Linked DNA regions of Daphnia pulex. The protein of the gene in region 1 interacts with the protein of each later gene in a pairwise test. Links are inferred from orthologs where the notes say so. Each region holds a gene or a part of one and is shown in the gene's direction. Other genes may lie near its edges.

Region 1 (5,471 bases):
GCTCAGCCTGTGAGGAAAAAAAAAGATACAATACAGTTGTGATGAAAATCAATAAAGAAACCAACCTTGAGCTCTCTAATGAATCCCAATTGTTGACTAGAACTGGCCATGAGTTTGTTGACTGTCATTTGAGTCAGTGCTCTAAACTGTTGTTGGCGGGCACCGTAGCACACTGATCTTGCTCTATTGGATAGAATATGGTAGGCATTCCAGGTGTCGGAATCCATGTCAGAAGTACATTCCCTTAAAGTCTAAAAAATATAAACTGGTTAGCTACAACTAGCTGAAGTGATACATTAATTAGAAAACTTGCCATTGAAGAGGAGCATGGGTAGACTCTCCGCCCTTCCAATCTTGATTGGCAGTTTAAAAGATTCACACCCAACTTAGACAAATCTTCCTCTGAGAGATCATTGCAGTCTTGCTTCAATTGAAGGATTAACTATAAACGAGTTCATTAATATTAATGAACAGTGAGATTGTACTTTGAATCAACATCAAAGTACTTTACTTACTTTATGCTGGCAAACATCCAGCTCGCTCAGACTAAGGTCAGTATATTTCTGTGCATCGGCAATGAATTTTTCATCAGCTACAGACAGCTCAAATGGAATATCAGACCTTGCTTGCACAGCACTCTCATCAGGTTCAGAAACTTCAATCTTATCATCTTCTTTTGCTACAGCCATAAGCTTATCAAATTGTTTTTCACTACTCAAAATGTTAAAAGGGGAGCTGTCTCTGCCTAAAATCCAACCTACTAAACTAGAATGACTACCAGTTCCTAGGAGAATTATGGCCACTAAATATAAAGTTATCTTCATTTTTGTAATAATCACAGTGCAATATAAGAGAAAATCATCTGACAATAATTGTATAAGATTGTAAGAGGGTTTGGTCGATAAAATTAGTCAAAAGGAACTGCACGTTGCTTTTCTAAATTCAAGTCCGGACTGGTCTGAATCTCTGGGTCGAGATTCCTTTTGAAAACCATTTGCATTTATTCAAATGAGGCAGATAACGTTGCCACATTGCTTTTTCCAAAAGAATTCGACGGAAATTTAAATATTTAAAATCTTAAAATATTCATCTATTATGTTGTATTATAAAAAATGTATATTCCTGTAATTGAAATAATATTTTAAATAATTTCAGTCATTTGGAAAAAAAATAGTTAGAAAAAATAAAAAACGTTTACAGGCACGCAAGCATTTACCTTTAAAATTCCATTGGGAGAAAAGGACTGGTGACGCTCGTGCGTCAAAGCCAAGAACTAAGTTGTTTCCCAAAATTATGGCTGTCTGGCTTTCGTCGGGCCCCGAAAACAGTGTATAGTTAATCAAACAATCGTGGATACGGATACGTCAGTTGATAGTCAATATTGTCAAACAATTTGTGGGAAATGCTATTCGTTTTTGAGTTTCGAGAAGTGTAATTCGACTTTGAACGAAGTCAAAACATTTTGGTGATTGGCCAACAACCGTTTCACTTGATAAACGTAGCCGTGGTGCACATCCGGCCTAGCCTTGAAAAGGAAATTCCTTCTCTGAAGCTTGTTTTGCCAAGAAATACTTTATCATCTGTGATTTCATAAAACGTGTTATTTTCGAGATGGAGGCCAATTCTAAACATGACTTTAATGCCACTGCTGAAGATGAGCTTAGTTTTCGAAAAGGGCAAGTTCTCAAGGTAAACCAAGCAATGATGCTTTCAACAGAATTTAAGGAATTTTTGCTTATAGCAATATTCTAACCTGTTCATTTGATTCAAATGTAGATTCTGAATATGGAAGATGATCTGAATTGGTATAGAGCAGAATTGGATGGAAAAGAAGGGTTGATTCCTAGTAACTACATTGAAATGAAAAATCATGAGTAAGCCTAGTTGAAATGTTTATGATAAAATAATGCATATTGATTATAACTTGTTGTTTTATTTTCTACAGTTGGTACTATGGAAGAATAACCAGAGCTGATGCAGAGAAACTCTTGGGCAACAAACATGAAGGCGCTTTTGTTGTTAGAGTCAGTGAGAGCTCACCGGGAGACTTTTCCCTGTCTGTTAAGTATGTTATCTAGTTCTTAAAATAACAATGTGATAGATTTTGTTTAGAAACATAGACAGTGTAAATCCTTAACCAAGAGCTCTAGATAGTTTAGAAATGCCCCATAGGAATTCTTCTACTATGTTTGATGTTATTATTTGCCTATTCTCAAATGTTGTTGAAATCTATTTGTGGCATACCAGACTACTTATCATTAGAACATCTGAATGAGATAAGTTGACATCTATTAACTAAGCTTGTAAGTCGTTAACTGCCTAAAACGGGAAGATTTCTCAAAATATTTATGTAGAAATAGCACATTATAAAAACATATTGAGAAATATCGCTTTGCATTCAGATATCCTGATTAGACGCTACACGTACATTTGAAGCGTGAAAAGAATTTCAAACATGCAGGCTTTCATCAGTGTAAAATCAAATATCTTATAATCTCGCTCTCCAAACTGTACGATACAAGTTCTACCTTACTAGGAAGACGCGTTTGAATAGAAAATTAATGAACCGAACGTACAGTTTATTTCTATTTCCCTCAAAGAATCATGGGTATTTGGTTTTCTGTAGAAATTTGATTTGATCACGCAAGAATTCTTTCCAAATGCAGTGCATGAGTCAACCTGATGACGCACACATCCGTTTACATTCCAATTTTATTCACTTCAAAGGTGGAATGAATCTCAATTGTCTATTTTGTTTTACCTTAAAAAAACAAAGACAGCTTGTAAAATTGGAACTCGTGCAGTGACTACCCTTTGCTTAAGTCGTGACTCGTGATTCATGAACCGTCAGTCCTACTGTTTTCAGTAATTAGTTTTATCCTTTTTGGTATTTTATTAGCCTTGTTAGGCGTGTCTAGGGTACATTCTGTTTTCTATCTGTTAGGCCTTTTCGTCAAGTTCCCTTACCACTGAGCCACCGTCCGTAATCAAGCAACTATATATGTGCCTTGAACCGGAGTTTTGCATCATTTTTAGTTTTTACAATTCTCTCATCGCCCTGCTGTGTTATTTATTCCTTCTTGAGGTTTTTGCCCGTTAAGTTGTAGGATGAGTGTGTTTTGTTTATAGCTAAGGAAGCCATCATCCTACTTCCTTGTAGTTCGAAATTAGTTTGAAATTTACACAATACTTTGTTACGTGCATTCTGTGTTAATAGGCTATTCTCTATTTTTTCTTTCTTGTCTCGCAGATGTGGCGATGGTGTCCAGCACTTCAAAGTACTTCGCGATGCCCAAGGGAAGTTCTTTTTGTGGGTGGTAAAATTCAACTCGCTCAACGAACTGGTCGACTACCATCGCTCCACATCTGTTTCTCGGTCTCAGGATATAAAGTTACGAGACATGGTGCCTGAAGAGGTGAGTTACCAGTTGTTCTTTTTTCCATGCCTTTAGGCTCAGGATTGACTAACAATTGTTGTGTGAATTTTCGACAGTTCTTGGTGCAGGCACTATACGATTTCACCCCGCAAGAACCAGGTGAATTGGAATTTAAGCGAGGCGACGTCATAACTGTGACAGACCGTTCTGATCAACATTGGTGGACTGGAGAAATTGGCGCCCGCCGCGGCCTCTTTCCTGCCACTTACGTTGCCCCGTATCATACTTAAAAGGCGAAGGCACTGTTCGTTCGTTTTCTTTTGCTCCTTTTCTTTTCTTCATAAATTTTTCTTCATTTTTTTTTTCTTTTTGTATTAAAGTGGTGCGTCCGTTCTTAAGACTCAAGTTATTTTTGCCGACTTCGAACCTAAACACATTACTAACTTTGATAACAAAACAGTAAAAGTGATGAACAGCTAGGATTGACAGGATTGCATCTCATTTCTCATTGAAAGCAGTTTGTAAAATTGCTTTCTTTTCAGTTTTTTTCCGTTTATGTTGTTCTAACCTCGATTTTCGACTGTATTTCCCCTCAAGCACACAGCTTTCGGGATTGCCATTAGATGTGGCTTTGGTCGAATAGTCATGTTGGAGCAATTTGTGTGGTTTTGATTGCGGAAAGATAAGTTAACTTATCCATAACGTCGACAACAATTACTGGGCTATTAAGTTTGCCCGTCATTTCTGTTGCTTCTTCTTATCTTATTGGCTCTTTTCCCTTTTTTGTCGACATTTTAAAGTGAATTTCGATTTTCTACCTATATCGATAACCTCTTCATAACTCTCACTCTTATGAACTAGCTTGAGACCATGCTATACTTGTACATCGAACAGTATCTTGATTGATGAAAATATAATGTGCAAACCAATGTTTTAGTCTTCTTCTCCGTCAGATTTAAAACTCTTACCTGTTGCGTTCATTGTTTCGTAATAGTAGAATGTGTAAGAGGAAAAAAATTTGTGTATTTAAAGATGCATCTAAACAAATACTATGTTTAATGAATTAATCTTCATCGATGAGAAATTTTCTTACGCTACGTAAGTATTCGGGCTCGAGACTGTTTGTAAGCTCTTCTCTGCCCAACCAATTATACTCTATGTCTGAACAAGTAGTGCAAGAAGAAAGCAATTGGGCTTTGAAGAAGAAAACTTTTGAACCGGTAAAACCAAGCTTTTGGCGAACTGACGACGGATATTTGATAGTATGTACTCCCCACGGAGCATTGCCCAATACTCGCACTGACGTATCAGGAGTTTTCACGTATTCTCTAAGTGCACGTTCTGCGGTCTCACGTAAGGTCTCCCCTTCCCTCCACCTACTTTCCGGAAGCTTCCAAACTTTCTTGTCTTTTTCTTGCACAACAAAAAGCAAATGCTTATCCAGCTTTCGATTGGTGGACTTCTGGTCTCCACTCAAATCTTCAGCTAGTTTACAGTAGGTCAATGAATTACTTGTTAGTCAACTTTATTATTTATATTATTACCTGTAGTCCTTGGGGCAGGCTTAAATTTTTGAAATTCTTCATTGCAAGCATCTTCAAAGTCTTGAGCTGTTTGCCTTGTTGCTGCATCTGGGTTACTTTCATCTTGAGTTCCATCTGCAGCCATTTTTTGTAGCTTCCTACAATTAAGAAATTATTCATATTAAAATTAAAATCTTTGATGGTATTTGAAATTATTACTTGTCTTCTTCATGTCTTAGTTCATGATTTGATTTGAGGCTTCTCATATTATCAAACTTCTCAATCATTTCACTAATTTGTTGTTCAATTTCGGTCATGGGAGGCACAATGATTGGTGTTCTTTCCAGACAAATTGCACCAAGAAGTTCCCATTTTTGGGGTGAAGAACTGGATGTAGAAGCACTCGACATTCTCAAGAAAACTACGAACATAAAATTTATTTTATCCATCAAAAAGCGTTAAAAAATGAATGATTTTAAGCTTTTTACCTTTTGGATTTTGATAGACTTTGTTAATTGAAAAACCATTCTTAACTAGTGATAGGCTACCTAAAGCATGAGATCGAAAGCAA
Region 2 (4,837 bases), on another chromosome or scaffold:
CACGCAGAATAAACAAAGAAATTAAGTTTATCGAGTAAAACATGGGAAAAATCGACGACTTAAGAAATAAAGCACAAAGTGGAATGTTGAAAGGCACTTGATTGGTTTCAATCATTTACGTTTGAGAACAAAATTAAGCAGTTAGCAGCTGTTTTAAAGTGGCACTTGAACAGCAGTCTTTTGGTAAACGGCTACGTAAATCTGAAATATGGGCAAGCTGCGGATTGTGAGATATCAATAGTTGACATACATCTGTACGATTAGCTAACGCTGCTCTATGAAGTGGAGTACACCCATCAGAATCCTGTAATCCAGCATCTGCTCCATTCTGCAACAGAAATTTTACCACTAATAAATGTCCTTGTTGGCAGGCGCGATGAAGAGGTGAACTCTGATTATTCCGTGTAGAAAGATTAACATTAGCACCATGTGCTACTAAGTATTTTACAACTTCCAAGTGCCCAGCTCTTGAAGCATAGTGCAGAGAACTGTATCCTGATGTGTCAACTGCATCAGCATTCATCTTTTGCAGAAGCTTACTAAGACGGTTCAAATCCCCATCAAGTGCTGTGGGAACAAGATACAGAATACAATGAGGTTTTAGTTTTCATTAATTGGACAGAAGAATATAAACCAATTATTACCAGCAGACCACGGTCCTCTTTCAAAATCCATTTCTTCTAATGTTTGACTCGCAGATGCAGTGTGCTGGCAGTTGTGATGGGTGCATTGCTCCATGTTTTATCCTTTAATCAATCTCTGGGGCAGAATCACTCCTGTAATGATTGATTTAAAGTTAAGACTATTTAACACAGATAATTTGGTCAAAACTTTACTCTTCTTCATCAGATGGCTCAGGGCAAGGTTCTGGAAAATCTTTACGCATAGTCCACACACAACTATCAGGATTCACATGAAATGAGCTTATGACTCTGTATCCCAACACTTCTAATGCATTTAAAAGCACAACTGGGTGATGACGAAATGAAACTGTGTGCACATCACTCCCCTGTTCATAGGTAAACCGTTTCAAATCTTCCAAATCACAAGCTAAACAAAACAATATTTGTTGATTAAAATGTTTAAATTTATTATGTTAATTGAATCAAGAAAATACCTTTTAATCCAGAAATTCCTACTCTCCATCCTGGAGGGATTGGCGGTTGTCCAGCTACGCCGTTTTTGTTAGGGTTCAAATTTCCAGATACAATAACATAAGGCATTCGTCTTCTTCGTGAAAACCGAAGTTTTTGAAATCAACAGCAAATTTCTCTGGTGCAGTAAACTTCACAATAGGTAAACTTGAAAGAAATTTGAAACTGAACTGAAAGAAAACTTTGTCTTTTTCTTGGCTTGACACTTTGTCGTTTGTTGTCAGCAAGCAGTTGTTTCAAAATGGCGGAAACAACTGACGAACGAAATGCGTTGTCATTTCTGAAGAATCAATCAGGTAGAAAGATCGAATGAAGATAACGATAACCGTTGACCCAGTTGAAGAATGATAATGTCAAGTGAATTGCATTTTTTAATTATTGAAAAAAACCTGTATTATCAATGCTTGAAAATTCCTAATTTTAGGAAAAATTCTCATGAAATAAACGGAAATACCACCCGGACTGCAGAGGGGGAAAGCCGGAAAGGCAAGCTGAACACGGTACTGTAGTGTCCTAAATTTAAATTTGGAAATACGGAAGCAAGGTGTAGTGATAATCTGTTCGTGGAATCAACAGAAATAGATTCAAAGGTAGAAAACTAATTTGCCTCTTAAACATTCATTTGAAAGTCGCGGTCGTTTGATGAAACTTTCGAAGGTCCGATGCGTCAAGGCAAAGCTTCTTACGATCATGTTTTTTAATTTTAATCAATTATAAATATTTTAAATTTTATTTTTTTAATTGCCTCTTTTTTTGTATTCATCTTAAATGAAATATCGAATGTTAATTTTGAAAGAATCATCCTCGAAAATTCGATTCTAAATTTGTTTTCGCTCTAAATAGCATATATTGGTAGAGGACTCTGCTGATGCAACTACATGTTTACGTTTACTCTTTGTTTGACTCGTGGCCTAAAAGTATTGAGATTTGAGACTCCCAAGTCCTGGCGATTAAAAACATTGTTAGACCCATTTGAATATTTGAAATGAAAAACTGATATTTAAACTCCTACCGTCCTATGTCAGATAAAATAATGAATCGAGTTTTTTTCTATCGTTACTACAATTGAAACAGCCAATTAAAATTGTTTTCAAGTAAGTAGCGCCATCCTGTGAATCAATTCCGAAAGAACTCGTTGAAAAAAAAGGGAGGGGCCTACCGCTAAGCGTAGCCGCTAAGAGTCGCATAGTTTGTTGCCTCCGGTCTATAGGTGAATGGATATTTCTTTTTCTTCTTTTATCGAACACAAGAAGACTGTCAAGAAGTCATTCCGTGCAGTCGGGTTTATTATTTCGTGTCCGAATTGATTGAGAAGGAACTTGTCGGATTTCGTCATAATGAAACAACAACAGTGTCGACCAATTGTATTTGTTTTGGTGTAGGTGCTTCGGCTTCGTTTTTGTACTGGGTGTGTGTGTGAGTGAGTGGTGTTTCTGATAAAGAAGCACAGTTGACATTCTTGATTGTCGTAGACAGATAGTTGAACGACAAAATGGGGAATTGTTTCAGTTCGGATCGTCGTTCAGTACCAAGGGTTGAAGAGCCACCCATTGGTGGTGGAGTGGGGGGCCAATTTCTGCCGACACAACCTCCTGTTCCCAGCCTCACACCCAGCCAAAATCACATTGATCAACCATTTCCACGTAATTTCTCCATTTGTGTTCCAAATATTGTCTTGTTCTTTAAACGTGGAATTTTGTATTTACAGCAGGTCGAATCATCCCTGTGCCGTCACTTCCTGCTCCTCCAGACCTCCAAGATTCTCTGAGTTCAACAGCAAAGGTCTTTGTGGCATTGTACGATTATGATGCCAGGACTGATGAAGACCTAAGCTTCAAGAAAGGAGAACATCTTGAAATTATCAATGACACCCAGGGTGACTGGTGGTTGGCCCGTAGCAAAGCAACTAAACAGGAAGGCTACATCCCCTCCAATTATGTGGCAAAGCTCAAGTCTATTGAAGCTGAACCGTAAGTTTCGTCTATTTATTTTTAAAATTGTAAATGTATTCCAGTGAGACTAAGTTTTAAAAGAAAATAGTCAAAGCAAAAACAACAAAGAGAAACAAAACAGGAAAAAGAGGAATGTAAATTACCACCTGTATGTTCCTGTGTAAGATGCATGGCCTGGGGGGTTATTTACCTGCTCGGAGAAACAGGTAACAATGGCCTTTCCCATTCACCGGTTGAGGCCGTCTCAAGGACATTGGGGCAACACATTTGGGCGAGGAAATAGAGACACGAGTACATCCACGTTGAGTTTTCCCCTCAACGATGATCATATGTTGACAATATCTACACAATCTGAAATCGGAAACTCGAATACTATCTTGTAGGAACCAGTCCTCGGCTTAATCCAATCCCATAAAACAAGTCGATTTCAAGGCTATAGTAGGAAATGAAGGGAATCGCTTCTGGGCTGATTGACTTGTCTGCGTTCTATTTCTAAAAGTGAACACTTGCCTTAGCAACTGGCCACCTAACATCTGTTAATCTAAGAAAATACTTATTTATTTTATTTTATAGGTGGTATTTCGGCAAAATTAAGCGCATCGAGGCTGAGAAAAAACTGCTACTTCCGGATAACGAGCATGGTGCCTTCCTCGTTCGTGATTCAGAGAGTCGCCGGAATGACTATTCATTATCGGGTACGTTTTCATATTTTTGTTGTCGTTATTTTTTTCCCTTACTCTGGGCCGTAATCGATTTGAATGCCATTTCGGGATTGGTTCTTTCGCAATTCATGTTTACCATTCCTTTTTCTCAAAAACGAACGAGGCCGATGGCGTGTTACACAATTAACAGCGCTTGATTGAACACGTTTTCCCTTGAATTTCCGTGGGCAGTACGTGCGTCTTTGTCAATTATTTTTCTTTCGCGGTCACCTTCTTTTTTTTTCCTCTTTGGTATTGTCACGGTCACTTTGATTTTGTAACTTTAATGCTGGCAATTTGTTACCTAAATATCGGAATGATGCCGAAATAACTAGATGGCTTATTTCTGTAATTATCAATCACTTGTGCAGTTCGCGATGGCGACACCGTCAAGCATTACCGAATCAGACAGCTGGACGAAGGAGGCTTTTTCATTTCCCGCCGAACAACGTTCCGAACATTACAAGAACTCGTGGAGCACTATAGTGCTGATGCTGATGGACTATGTGTCAACTTGCGCAAACCTTGTATCCAGGTAAGAAACATGTGTTATGTGCTCGTCGTAAATCCCATTCTCATTGCAAATGTTTCTTCATCCTGCCAATTATAGATTGAAAAACCGGTGACGGCAGGAATGTCGTATAATACTCGCGACCAATGGGAGATCGACCGGACATCGCTCAAATTTGTGCGCAAATTGGGTCATGGACAATTCGGCGAAGTCTGGGAAGGACTTTGGAACAACACCACACCCGTCGCCATAAAAACGCTCAAGCCGGGTAATTCCGAACGGAAATTGCGCAAAATTCCGAAACGATTCAGAGAACAGATTTTGATTGTCACGCTATGAATCTTGATTTCAGGAACAATGGACCCCAAGGATTTCTTGGCCGAAGCGCAGATTATGAAAAAGTTGCGACACTCCAAGTTGATCCAACTTTACGCCGTTTGCACGGCCGAGGAGCCGATTTACATTATCACTGAACTCATGAAAAATGGTAGTTTACTGGAATTCCTCCAGGGTAAAGGA
Region 3 (4,953 bases), on another chromosome or scaffold:
CGGCATTAAACTGAAAAGATGCTTGTTGGGCAGTGGCTGACGCGATATCTCTACCATTCTTGGAGGATGAAGATCCCTTGGGCAAGGATTCAGTGTCGGTGCTGTTGTTTTCATCATCGTCATCATCTTCCGAGTCCCCAGAATCAGTTTCTTCGCTGTCCGACTTTCTAGCTGCCCATGCCCTGAAATCACATCATGGAATAAGTTAATCTCGATATTGTACGCCTAATTAATTTTCATAGAAATCAAGGATACGCAGCATTAATTCCAGGGACGAAAATTAAAATTAAAACCTTTGGTTATTCTGTGCTGGTGCAAGGGCGGCAGGAGTTTTTCTGGGGCGACCCCTTGGCCTCCCAGTTCCGGTTCCTTTACTCTTACTAGTGGATGAAGACGATCCCGCCTCGCTGAGAGATCGGAACATTAACGGCTGGTGTTGTTGAACAGTAGGTGTTGATGGGACGCTAGTCACGCCACCATCTTCGCCCTCTGCCTGGACATCAGGAATGGTAAGGACCAGATCTTTCAAAAAGTCAAATCGACTTTCAGCTAAAATGCATTGCTTCCTACAAGAAATACATGTTATTAGGTTACACTGAAAGTTGAAATCACCAGTCTTACAAATGAGCAGGACTGAGTGTTTTGGCATTCCTGGCTGAAGTTATCTGTACAGCTTTGGTAAGGAGTGACTCTACAAAAAGCTCCAATGCTCTAGGTGAATAAAATTCAGTTAAGGAAAAAACATTGGAATTTCACGGTAAAATAAAGAAAAATAGTAAATAAAAAATTTATTAAAAAGGATATAGATGATAACAGGAACTGGTGCAGCCACTTTCCCAACTTCTTCATCTGTTTGCATTATCTTCTTTATCCGGGCCTAACACCAAGAAAGAAAAAAAAAACAAATAATAATGTAAATAACTTGATCTCGTTATGATTATGTTGTTAGTTTTTTTTCATACTGACATGATATGTCAATGAAACATGAAAAATCAATAGCAAAGTCAATAATAAACAACAAAAACTGAACCATGTACGCTACATTGGAATAGATGAGCGGTTACGAGTATTATGAAGATCACAAACTAGAACTCACAGGCGGAAATCGGGCGTTGTATTTTTTCTTTTTGCTGGGCATTCTAATAAACAGTGGTAGATGACAAATGTAACCAAGGATGATTTAATTAACAGTGAAACGCAGAAGAAATTTTATAAAGAAAAAGCAGGCCACTAGAGTCTCATTTGCTTAAAGCAGCAGCTTTTTTTCTGTTTCTTCCACATCAGATTAAATGCCAAGATGTTAGTGGTTGCCTATGTGCCGAAATAACGCAACTGAAAACGAGGAATCTCGATGCGGAAAGCTAAAATATGGGAGTCGTCGACGGCGAACAATAGCCGGATTTTCAAACAGACTATAGCTAAATTACTAAGACCATTTTTTGTCACACATTGCTTTTGTTCATAGATTATAGATTTATAGTTTATAGAAATGAGTTAAGAAATATTTCTTTGTTTCCTAACTGTCTTGAGTCAAAGAATAAAAAGGAATTTCCCTGGTCCCTGGTATGAAAAAATTTCGGCATTGACTGTTCTGTCGCGGTAAATTAAATATTAGCTGTGCTGTGTTATTGATGGGTTTCCCCCGAATGAGTGAATGGAAACAGGCCAAACAGCATACATTGCTTTTTTTCCGTTAAAATCATCCAATTTTATACCGAGTTTTTTCAAAGAAGTGGCAATTCTACAAGACAAAATGAATTTACAAGACGTTGAGTTTACACGGACGAAATGCAATAGATCAAATACTCAGATAGCAATTTTTATCTAACGTCGTAGTTTCAGACTTGAAATGTTGTGGTTCATCCCGAAAAAAAAATCACATATTTTTAGCGGTAGATTTTTTTAATTGCCCATTTTTTATATTTTACAACGAATTCCGACGGGAAGCCTCGAGTGAAAACAAAATTTGTTAACGTTCTTTCCATAAAATGTTCTCATGATTTAGCCCTCGTTTTCCAATCTGTTATCCCGTGTTTTACCGAATTTTTTTTATGTTCTTTTGTTGTAGGTTGTAGACTGTGAAACTTTGGCTAGCTAGAGCTAGCTATTGGGTTTTGGAAATTGGTAAACGGAATTGGTTTGGGATTTGAGCACTAGGAGCTCTTCAGTTACTACACGACTACACGTACAGTGACAGTCGTAGATTGGACGGGAAGTTGTTAAATATTACGTGCATTTTATAATTTGGATGTGCCAAAAATGAATGCAACTGCCCGTTGAACTTTATCTAGTGTGACGATGCAACTCTTCTTACGACGATTGCCGTCAAGGCCGTGATCATGACTTCTACTCAAAATTAACTCCAATTACTATTGAAAGAAGTCAGTTTTCAACCTTTCCATTTTCTCGACATGTTTTCCTCTTCAAATGTCCCCGTGACTGAGGGACTCCTCTACGATTTTGACGATGAAGAGAACGCGCTCAAATGGAAAGGAGTTTTTGTTGCTTCTTTACACAAGGTAAACCAAGAAATGTTATTTGTTCTTCTTACCAGATAGTATTGATCAGTAATGGTTATTCAGGTACTGAGCCAGGTTCATCCGACTCTCAAGGCCAAAGATGATGCCCTGGAATATGTGGAAAGACTTATTTTAAAGTTACTGGGAATGTTGTGTGCCAGACCACCACCTCACACTGTGCAAGATGTTGAGGAACGTGTACAAAAAACTTTTCCCAATCCAATTGATCGTTGGGCCATCAGCGAGGCCCAAGCTGCCCTAGAAAAGGGAAAGAAAAAATCACCAATTGTTCTTCCTGTGGACAAAGTTCACAACTTATTGCAAAAGGTTGGTTTCATTGATTGTTTGTTGTTTTAGCTTCCATAATCAATTCTTTGTTTTAACTCTTAAATGTAAAGGAGGTTTTACAGTATAAAGTGGACCACCAAGTATCACTTTATGTGGTTGCTGTATTGGAATATATTTCTGCTGATATGCTCAAGGTAAATTATTTAAAGCAAAAAATTAGTTAACTTTATAGTCATTATTATTTTTTATTCGTTTTTTTCCTTAGCTTGCCGGAAATTACGTCAAAAACATTCGTCATGTTAAGGTGGCTTCACAAGATATCAAAGTTGCCATGTGTGCTGATAAGGTATGACGAAGGAATTCACTCTGCAAACTTTTCTTTAATCTTTCCTCTCTATCTCCCGAATATTTTAACCCCTCTGTCATGGTTTAACAAACATTCCGTTTTGCAGGTTTTGATGGATTTATTTCATCAAGACGATGATGATCAGCTCTCAATAGAAGATGAACCACTAACACCGAGCACCAGTGGAGTTCCCGGAAGCATGGGTGGTCCTGGCTTATCGGGAGGACCATCTCCAACTACAATCACCTACGACCAAGTGGTACGCGACTTAATCCAGGAGGAACGCCAGTACCTTCGAGACCTTCATCTGATTATGAAAGTGTTTCGTGAACAACTGGCTACACTTGCTCCACCACCAAGTCCAGCTGAATTGGATGCCATTTTCTCCAACATTGAAGAAATTTATGAACTGACAGTGACGCTCCTTGGTTCTTTAGAGGATACTCTAGAGATGGCCGAGGAGCCTCATCAGGCTGCAGCACCTCCTGTTGGCAGTTGCTTTGAAGAATTAGCAGAAGCAGCCGAATTCGATGTCTACGATCGTTATGCCAAGGACGTTCTTTCACCCACTTGTCGCGAAACGTTACAGGTTTGTATAATTTGGTTGAATGTTGAAACAAAGTTGAAATGGGTTTGCAATTTTGATTATTGTTTCTACAGGCGGTACTCTCTCGACCGGATGTGGGTCACTCGTTGCAAACGGGTGGTCACGGTTTCCGTGAAGCCGTTCGTTATTATCTGCCAAAGCTGCTTTTGACGCCTGTTTATCATTGTTTCACGTACTTTGACGTGGTACGCTTTCTTCATCGACTCAGTGTTAGCAAAGAGGATCGTGAAAGCTTAGAACAAGTGGAAGGGCTATTGAAACCACTACAAGTCGAGCTGGAACGATTACTTTCCTGCACGGGCGTCGGAGTTAATCTTCCGAAACGCAAGCCGAGCGAAACAGGCGGCATTGGATCTGCTGGACCTTTAATCCGCACAGGCTTACTAGGTGGCCCGCGCAGTAGCAGGCCTGCTGCCTTGTGTAAACTTCAGGAACTTCAACGTTCAATCGACGGCTGGGAATGTAAAGACGCCGGACCAGCTTGCAACGAATTTATCTGTGAAGGTCAAATCGGCAAAGTAGGAGCAGGAAAACGGTTGACAGAACGTTATGCCTTCCTCTTCGATGGTCTCCTTTTGCTGTGCAAAGCTTCCGGTCATGGCCGTCGGTCATCAGCCGCTTCTCCAGGGGGTGATTATCGCCTAAAAGAGAAATTCTTCATTCGAAAAGTCGAAATTTTGGATCGAGAAGACACAGATGAACTGCGTAATGCGTTCGAGGTTGCACCTCGACAACAGCCACATTGTGTCCTCTTTACTCGAACGGCCGAAGAAAAAGCCAATTGGATGGCAGCTCTTGTCATGCTCAACACTAAGTCTATGCTGGAGCGGACTTTGGATGTCATCTTGCTTGATGAAGAGAGGAAACATCCTTTGCGGTTGCCACCACCTTCCATCTATCGTTTTGCTGAAGAAGATTCAGAAACCAATTTGGTGCTTGAAACGAGAGAAAATGGAGGTGTACCACTGATCAAAGGTATTTTATTTTCATATGAAAATGTTTCAAATGTGTTATTCAAATGTTTTTCATTGGAATTTTTCAGGCGCAACTCTTTTGAAGCTCATTGAAAGATTGACGTACCACATGTACGCTGATCCGATGCTGGTCAGAACTTTCCTTACCACTTACCGAAGTTTTTGCAGTCCGACGGAATTATTGGAATTGCTAATTGAACGCTTTGAAATGCTCGAACC

Evidence for each region.
Region 2: the proteins of growth factor receptor-bound protein 2 (region 1) and tyrosine-protein kinase Src42A-like interact in a two-hybrid assay, tested with the Caenorhabditis elegans proteins (3 studies listed by BioGRID). The link is inferred for Daphnia pulex from reciprocal best matches to the Caenorhabditis elegans genes sem-5 and src-2.
Region 3: the proteins of growth factor receptor-bound protein 2 (region 1) and son of sevenless homolog 2-like interact in a two-hybrid assay, tested with the Caenorhabditis elegans proteins (3 studies listed by BioGRID). The link is inferred for Daphnia pulex from reciprocal best matches to the Caenorhabditis elegans genes sem-5 and sos-1.

The regions. Positions count from the first base shown.
Region 1 is NC_060028.1:9,113,769-9,119,239, reverse strand, and holds growth factor receptor-bound protein 2, read left to right. Parts: upstream 1-1,215; 5' UTR 1,216-1,611; coding exon 1,612-1,689; intron 1,690-1,776; coding exon 1,777-1,874; intron 1,875-1,945; coding exon 1,946-2,065; intron 2,066-3,250; coding exon 3,251-3,416; intron 3,417-3,493; coding exon 3,494-3,667; 3' UTR 3,668-4,306; downstream 4,307-5,471. Other genes in the region: protein brambleberry-like, read right to left, coding at 1-7, 66-251, 314-442, 516-824; 39S ribosomal protein L46, mitochondrial-like, read right to left, coding at 4,441-4,862, 4,922-5,058, 5,120-5,321, 5,389-5,471.
Region 2 is NC_060027.1:2,733,815-2,738,651, forward strand, and holds the start of tyrosine-protein kinase Src42A-like, read left to right. Parts: upstream 1-2,037; 5' UTR 2,038-2,646; coding exon 2,647-2,797; intron 2,798-2,862; coding exon 2,863-3,124; intron 3,125-3,679; coding exon 3,680-3,801; intron 3,802-4,178; coding exon 4,179-4,342; intron 4,343-4,417; coding exon 4,418-4,586; intron 4,587-4,670; coding exon 4,671-4,837. Other genes in the region: ankyrin repeat domain-containing protein 39-like, read right to left, coding at 134-567, 645-738. UniProt on the Caenorhabditis elegans protein: Non-receptor tyrosine-protein kinase which may play a role in larval and pharynx development. Unlike src-1, does not play a role in embryonic development.
Region 3 is NC_060018.1:8,053,388-8,058,340, reverse strand, and holds the start of son of sevenless homolog 2-like, read left to right. Parts: upstream 1-2,153; 5' UTR 2,154-2,411; coding exon 2,412-2,519; intron 2,520-2,582; coding exon 2,583-2,846; intron 2,847-2,917; coding exon 2,918-3,001; intron 3,002-3,072; coding exon 3,073-3,153; intron 3,154-3,259; coding exon 3,260-3,742; intron 3,743-3,813; coding exon 3,814-4,735; intron 4,736-4,802; coding exon 4,803-4,953. Other genes in the region: uncharacterized protein LOC124205699, read right to left, coding at 1-182, 294-566, 622-715, 805-877, 1,097-1,138. UniProt on the Caenorhabditis elegans protein: Promotes the exchange of Ras-bound GDP by GTP. May regulate signaling pathways downstream of receptor tyrosine kinase, egl-15 and let-23.